Linked DNA regions of Oryctolagus cuniculus. The protein of the gene in region 1 purifies or fractionates together with the protein of each later gene. This does not show direct contact. Links are inferred from orthologs where the notes say so. Each region holds a gene or a part of one and is shown in the gene's direction. Other genes may lie near its edges.

Region 1 (4,279 bases):
GGCTCCTGCCATCGGATCAGCATGGTGCGCCAGCCGCGGCGGCCATTGGAGGGTGAACCAACGGCAAAGGAAGACCTTTCTCTCTGTCTCTCTCACTGTCCACTCTGCCTGTCAAAAAAAAAAAAAAAAAAGAGAGAGACAGAGACAGAGACAGAGATCTTCCGTCTGCTGGTTCGCTTCCCAAATGTCTGCGATTGGGCCAGGCTGAAGCCAGGAGCCAGGACCCCACCCAGGCCTCCCACACAGGCCGTCTTCCTCTGCTCGGGCCCCTGGCCAGGGAGCTGGCGGGAAACGCAGCAGCTGGGACGCCAGCCTCGCCGGTGGGGCTGCCCGGTGTCCCAGCGCCAGCCCCTGACCCCTGCAAGGATTTCAGAAACGACGCCCACGCAGGTCCCGGCGACCGCACCTCACTCAATGCGCCCCAGGACTTGTGAGCCAGCCCTGGCTGTCGTGGGCGTCTCGGGGGTGAACCAGCAAGACCGCTCTGCGTCCCTCTCCTTCCCAATAAGTAAAAATTGTGCCAAAAAAGTGAAGTTAGTAATCTGGGTATCATGAACGAGGCAACGGAGCTCCCCCTAAAGGCATCAAGCACAGTGCGGTCCACTCTCCACCACCACGGGCTGTGCACCCGAAACATTCCAGAAAGCAAACAGCGCGTCTGTACTGAACACGCAGACTTTTCTTCATGCCCTAAATGATAAAGGATAATTTTGGCGCAGGCTTCACATTGTGTTAGGCATCGTTAAGTGAGCAGCGGGCCATTTCACACTCACGGGCAGAATTCGGTCCTGGGACCAAGTGCCCATGCAGGACACCCAGGAAATGCCCGTCCCAGCTCAGGCCCTGGGCACCTGCCGTTAGCCGCGCCCCGATCGCCCTGGGCGCCTCTGTCCCCCTCGCTGTCCCCTCCCGCCCCCCACCCTGCTCTTGTCCTTGAGATGGCCACTACCTGAAGTTGTATTTTTCATCTAAATACCTTTACACTCTCCCTCAGTACAAAGTAAGGAACCAAAAATCAGGTTTTCACACCTCCAGCGCCTAAACAGCGATTGCTGGACGCCCACTAGCCGGACGATCAACGCAACCAACACTATTCCCGTAGGGACTCTTTGCCAGGTGGCGGAAGGGTATTACCCGTTCTCTAGTCAATGCGCATGCGCCAAAGATCCGGGAAGTGTGCTAGGTAAGGGGGCGGGGCTTCGGGATGAGCCTCGCGGGCAAAGGCGGTTGGAGTCCAGGCGCGAGGTGGAAAGCGGCGCTTGGGGACGAGCGCGCGTGCGTAGTACGGCCGCAGCCAGCCGCGGCACGCAGTTGAAGGCGCCGGGAGGCGGGGCAAGGGCCTCGCGCGTGCGCCGTGCCCGCGGCGGCCCCGGTGTCTGTAGGTCGGTTGCGCGCGGCTGGCGCTGCGCGTGCGCAGGGCGACGGCGGAGGGATTTGAGGCCGGGCTCCACCTCCTGCTCCCGTTGCGAGCCGAAGCCGCGCGGGCTCGCGAGCAGAGGCCTGCTGCGCGCGCGGGGGGCGGGCGACCGAGTCCGACGGCGCCGGAGTCGAAGCCGGAGCAGGAGTGCTTGTTGCTGAAGGGCCGCCGCAGCCGCCGCGAGCCCCCGGACCGACGCCAGGCCGAGGAGGGCACCGCGCGGCGGGTGAGTGGGACCCAGTGGTCTTGAGGGGGTGCGGGGCCGCTACCCACAAGCCCCTGCGGTGGGCCGGGGTCCCCTCCCTGACGGCCGCGTCCCCCCTGCAGCACCGTTCCGCGGCCCTCGCCTAGAATTTCCCGGACACTCGGCGCTCTCCCCAAAACACGCCCCCGCCCGCCGCCGTCCCCTTCCCACAGGCCCTTGCGCGTTTGTTGCCCTTTCCCCGCCCCCTCCCTCGCTTCTCGGGGCGCCCTGGACCATTACCCACAATGCCTCTCGCCGCCGGGAGCCCAGACCTGCTACCCACAAGCCCCTGCGTGGTGGGGGCGGGGAGCGGGGTGCGCGCCGACTTCCGGCTACCCAGCGCCTGCGACCCCCGCCCCGGGCGCCTCCCTCGGCCGCAGCCCCGACTGCCCGCTCGCCCGCGCTTCGGCCTTTGTTCCCCCGGCGGCGGCGGCGGCGGCGGCGCGCTCCCCGGGCGAGGCAGCCGCCACAAGGCCTTGACCCTCTCTCCCCAGACCTGGCAAGATGACCCAGTTCCTGCCGCCCAACCTCCTGGCCCTCTTCGCTCCCCGGGACCCCATCCCCTACCTGCCGCCCCTGGAAAAGCTGCCGCACGAGAAGCACCACAACCAGCCCTACTGCGGCATCGCGCCCTACATCCGGGAGTTCGAGGTGAGCCAGGCCGGCTTCGCGGCTGTGGACACTTCCAGGCCTCGGGGGGCCTGGCAGGGCAGCCCCTGGAAGGCGCTGGGGAGGACGCGGCGGGAGGGGTCGGCCGCGGACGCCGGGTGCTTCTCTGCTGTGTGGTCTTGGGCGGTACAGAATCCCCACGATGCATTCGCTGTCTTTGACAGCAGGACGGAGAATAAATAGCATTTACGGCAGAGCGCTTGGTACCAAGCAGTCGATACGTGTCAGCATTTGTGACTGTATTTGCCATGTTTTTAAAACATTTATTTTTCTTTATTTGAAAGATGGAGTTAGAGAGAGAGGGGTCTTCCATCCACTTGTTCACTCCCCAGATGGCCGCAACAGCCATAACTGAGCTGATCCGAAGCCGGGAGCTTCCCTGACTCCCACACGGGTGCAGGGGCCCAAGGACCTGGGTCGTCTTATACTGCGTTCCCAGGCCGTGGCAGAGAGCTGGATCAGAAGTGGAGCAGCGGAGAGTCGAATTGGCAGCCCCTATGGGATGCTGGCGCTGCAGGCTGGGGTGTTAACCCACCGTGCCACAGCACCGGCCCCTGTATTTGCCGTTCTTGTTAACGGAGTGTCGTTCCTGAAGAATTGGCACTGTGTGGGTGGCGTAATTAAGACCGTAGCCTGGGGCTCTCAGATCTGCACTGTGGGTCACCGTTGGTGCAGCTTAGGCTCCGGGATCTCAGTGTTTTCATTTGTAAGGTCGGGTGATGACCCCGCCTCAGGGCGGTCCGTGTCACAGGCCGCTCCAGTGCTGTAGGGAGAGGCTGCGATGGAGGCTCCAGAGCCGAGGTGACACAAGGTGGCTCTTACTGGATTGGCCACTCCCAGTGAACTCGTGCTTGGGAAGTGTTATTAGCCAATTAAATTAATTTAATGGGCACAGGCCAGCAACTCTGTCTGGTGATCGCTGCCTACGGAGTGGCTGCGAGGGCTCAGAGAGCTGCCTGGCCCTCAGGACGTGCCCAGGTGTCAGCTCCTGCTGCTGCTCTCCTGAGCAAGCGCCCCCGCCCCCACTCTGCTTTGTCACGTCCTCAGACACGTCGTCGTCGGTGCAAGACAGGGACCTGTGAGACTATCTTAAAGGAATTAGTATTTATTTAATTGAAAGGCAGAGTTACAGAGGAGGAGGGGAGAGACAGAAAGGTCTTGCGTCCACTGGTTCACTCCCCACATGGCCGCAGTGGCTGGAGCTGTGCTGGTCTGAAGCCAGAAGTCAGGAGTTTCTTCTGGGTCTCCTGTGAAGGTGCAGAGGTCCACGCACTTGGACCATCGTCTGCTGCTTTCCCAGGCCTTAGCTGGACCAGAAGTGAAGCAGCCGGGACTCAAACCAGTGCCTGTGTGGGATGCAGCGCTGTAGAGAGGTTTCATCTTCCACGCTGCTGCAACAGCCCAAGATTGAAAATTTCAATAAATGTAGTGAGATTATTTTGAATGAGAAGGAGAGAGGGAGAGACAGGTCTTCTGTCCACTGGCTCACTCCACAGATGGCTGCAGAAGCTATGGCTGGGCCAGGCCAAAACTAGAAACCAGGAACTCTGTCCAGGTCTCCCACGTGGATGACAGAGACCAAGCACTCAGACCATCGTCTGCTGCTTTCCCAGGCGCATTAGGGAGGTGGATTGTAAGTGGAGCAGCTGGATTCCAGCCGGCACTCTGATAGAGGATGCTGGCGCCACAGGTGGCAGCTTCACTGTGCCATGTGTCAGCTCTTGGGGTTTTCAAAAGAAACACCTGGGGCTGGCGCCGTGGTTCACTTGGTTAATCCTCTGCCTGCAGCACCGGCATCCCATATGTGCACCGGGTTCTAGTCCCGGCTGCCCCTCTTCCAGTCCAGCTCTCTGCTGTGGCCAGGGAGTGCAGTGGAGGATGGCCCAAGTGGTTGGCCCCTGCACCCCATGGGAGACCAGGAGAAGCACCTGGCTCCTGGATTTGGATCG
Region 2 (3,644 bases), on another chromosome or scaffold:
GAAGATACTGCAGCTGTCATTGTAAATTCTATCAGTGTAGGTTTTTTGGTAAGCCATATTTGAATAAGCCACAGGATGTTTTTTCAAGAGTTTGATAAATTCTACCTGTATAGCTGTAAAACAGGTCTTTCTAGATTTGTTTCTTCAGATTTGTACTTTGTTTTGAATTGAGAAATGGACTAAAGGTAAAGACTCTTTTTTTGAAGAGTTTGTCAAGTTTTTCAAATAGTTTTAAATTATATTAGTAGTTACAAACTAAATCCTAGTATTTTAATCAAGGCATTCATTGATATTTGAAAGTATAGGAATATTTGTCTTAGAAGCCTATTCCCACCCCAAATCCCCTTAAGCTGGATGGTAAAAATAGCATTTTAAGTGTTAAAGCATTCATATAAATAGGAGTAAGTGTCTGGATTACATTTCTGTAATAATAGAATTAAAAAGGAGTCAATGCTCCAACATGGGCATCAGTTCATAAAGCAGACTGATAGAATGACAATTGCTTTAAGTAGCACTCTGACCTCAGAATCAGCCCTTAAAGCATTCTGGTCTACCTGAAAAGCCCATGGAGATCATTTCAGGCATGGAAAGCCAAGACACTATGGCAAAAAATGTCCTACATGAAGGACTTCTGTGGGTGAAACTCCAGTAGAAGTGGTGGTCATCAAAGAAGGATGTACTTTTTTCTGCAGGGAGGAGAGAACTTCCACTTTGCTTATGGCCTTGTCTAAATTTTAACAAATTCTGACTTAATTAACTTTAAAGAAGCACCAAGAACGATACATCTTTTGTGAGCAATTAGACATACCTATAACTTATAAGACCTTGATTTATACAGTAAAAGAAAATAAGTCCATACAGTTCTGACGGAGTTTGTGAATTCAGAAGGCTTACATACCTTAGACAGCACTTGTCAAGAGCCTCAGGTGGTCACTGACATCATACATAAGAGTGTTAATTGTTAAATTAACAACAGGAGTCATTGTGCACTAACTTCCCATGCAAGACCTCTGTCCTCCAAAGAGTTGTGTTATCATAGTTAACAGTGAAACTTGTTCTCAAAGATTTATTTTGTTTTAGTGTATTAAGTGAATGATATTTTTAAGTCTCATAAGTTTTACATCTGCCTAAGTGTCCAACTCCTTTGCTTGTTTTCTTAGGTGCTTCCTTAACTAATGATAAAATTTGTTCTCAAGGACTTATTTTCTTTTATTAAGTGGAGGTCTTATGTCTCATAAGTTATAGTTATGTCTAATTGCTCCCAAAAGATGTATCATTCTTGAATGCTTCTTTAAACTTAATTTTCTCAAAAAAAAAAAAAAAGGTAAAATTAACTTCGAGATATAATGACCTTGAACAGCCCTTGTCTCAAGTGTTGAGAAACAGTTTTGTGTGTGTGTGTGCAAATTGTTGAACTCTTTACTTAGTATAGAGTTGATCTTCTGTGTATAAAGTTGATTGAAAATGCATCTTAGGGCCGGTGCTGTAGCTCAGTAGGCTAATCCTCCGCCTTGTGGCACTGGCACACCGGGTTCTAGTCCCGGTCGGGGCGCCGGATTCTGTCCCGGTTGCCCCTCTTCCAGGCCAGCTCTCTGTTGTGGCCCGGGAGTGCAGTGGAGGATGGCCCAAGTGCTTGGGCCCTGCACCCCATGGGAGACCAGGAGAAGCACCTGGCTCCTGGCTTCGGATCAGCACGGTGCGCCAGCTGCAGCGCGCTGGCCGTGGCGGCCATTGGAGGGTATGCATCTTAGTGGAGAATGGGACTGGGAATGGGAGAGGGAAGAAGAAGAGGGGTGGGAGTGTGGGTAGGAGGGAGGGCAGGTATGATGGGAAGAATTACTGTATTCCTAAATTTGTACTTAAGAAATTCTGAAGTTTGTATTCCTTAAATAAAAGGTTTCTTTGGTTTTTTTGGAAAAAAGAAAGCCTATTCCCAGAGGTGACTCTTATTAATGAGTCAGTTTTCTTTGGAAATCTAAAGAATGAGACAATCTTAAATGTTGCTTTCTAACTAAATTTAGTGAAACTCCTATTGAATTTGTCAGTATTTATTACTAATATTATAACTGTTCTGTGCCACTATCCCCCCCCCCCCTTCTTTTTAGGCAACAGTAACTAGTGTCTTGGAATATCTGAGTAATTGGTTTGGAGAAAGAGACTTTACTCCAGAATTGGTAGTGTTATCTTTTTATTTTCATAATTCAGTTTTATTTTCATAGGATACATGAGGTGTGACTGTATGGTATTTGTGTGTGTGTGTGTGTATACTCAAATGTGTTACTAGCCTTGTGCCACACCATGATGTTTTTGGGCAAGGAGGGCTTCATCTACAGTAGTGGTCCTCTAAGATTATATAGCCTGGTCTTAGTTTGTGTAAGTACTTGCTATGTGTATGCATAATGACATGATAGCCTGATAATGTATTTCTCAGAATGTGGCCCTGTCCTTAAGTGATACATGACAGTATACGTGTAATCTGAACTATGCTTGTTTGTGGTGCAATAAGGAACCTACACCAGGGTGTAAATCAACATACTGCTTCCTTCGTTGACAAAGTCTTCCTTTGGCAGGGAGGGGGAAGAGGACAAATGTCAACCAAAGAGTTAATTTATATCCTGGTACAAACTACTTATCTCAGTGCTGAGCAGTAACAGTGTGCTCACAGGCTGGCAACAAGTCTGCAAACCCCACTTCCAGTGGCACTGGTTAAAGTTTAGAATGCATTTTCTAAAATGACCTTGAAATCAGTCCACAAAAGGATCAGAAGTAACAACAACAGCAAGTACTACATGCTAGACATTATTCTAAGAACCTTACATATAATAATTCATTGGGCCCTCAACAATTTATTAACTGTTATTATCCACAATACTCAATTAACATAATACAGCTTGTAATTGGCAGAATTCAGACTCAAGTCAGGGCAGTCTGGCTCTATTTCTACACTGTTAGAACTATGCTACACTGTGTTTACTTTATTGCTTTATATTCACAACTCATTTTTTTTTGGCCTTAAAAGTTGGGTTAATTTGATGAATATTTTTAAATGAATTACCTGTTTGTTCTTTCTAATTTTAATAAATTTTATCATCTTTGAAAGATTTAGTTTTTAGAAACCAGCAGTGTTTCACAGCTAAAGATATTTGTGAAAGAGTGTATCTGAGGGTCTAAATGTAACACAGTAATGAGTTGTATGAATTTATTCATGGAAGATAACCAGGCACAGCTTAGAATATTTAAACTTGTGATTTAATAGTTTTTTTTTTAATCCTATTTAGGGAAGATGGCTTTATGCTTTATTGGCTTGTCTTGAAAAACCTTTATTACCTGAGGCTCACTCATTGATTCGGCAGCTTGCAAGAAGGTGCTCTGAAGTGAGGCTCTTAGTGGTAAGTTTCACCTCACTTTTCCAAATTGAAAGCATCCAGCAGTTTTTATAGTGGTGAAAAATTCCAATAGAAGGGAGACCTTTGGCATATTTTGTTAGTTGCAATTAGAATTGGCCACATAACAAGAAAGTGGAAAATACTAGCAACTTAAATAAAATGGCATTGTTGTCCTCAGATAAAGGAAGTAGGCAGACAAGATGTAATATAGCAGTAACCCAGGCCTTTGGGTTCTGCCACATGTGGCTTCCTCAGGTT

Evidence for each region. Proteins that work in one complex are often made in the same cells at the same time.
Region 2: the proteins of SNRNP70 (region 1) and GEMIN2 purify together in Homo sapiens (affinity purification with mass spectrometry; 5 studies listed by BioGRID and IntAct, counting the BioPlex papers as one, with this or other methods). This does not show direct contact. The link is inferred for Oryctolagus cuniculus from reciprocal best matches to the Homo sapiens genes SNRNP70 and GEMIN2.

Annotation. Positions count from the first base shown.
Region 1 is NC_091449.1:8,223,363-8,227,641, reverse strand, and holds the start of SNRNP70 (U1 small nuclear ribonucleoprotein 70 kDa), read left to right. Parts: upstream 1-1,376; 5' UTR 1,377-1,643; intron 1,644-2,155; 5' UTR 2,156-2,165; coding exon 2,166-2,312; intron 2,313-4,279. UniProt on the Homo sapiens protein: Component of the spliceosomal U1 snRNP, which is essential for recognition of the pre-mRNA 5' splice-site and the subsequent assembly of the spliceosome. SNRNP70 binds to the loop I region of U1-snRNA.
Region 2 is NC_091443.1:36,514,810-36,518,453, reverse strand, and holds part of GEMIN2 (gem-associated protein 2), read left to right. Parts: intron 1-2,105; coding exon 2,106-2,174; intron 2,175-3,278; coding exon 3,279-3,389; intron 3,390-3,644. UniProt on the Homo sapiens protein: The SMN complex catalyzes the assembly of small nuclear ribonucleoproteins (snRNPs), the building blocks of the spliceosome, and thereby plays an important role in the splicing of cellular pre-mRNAs.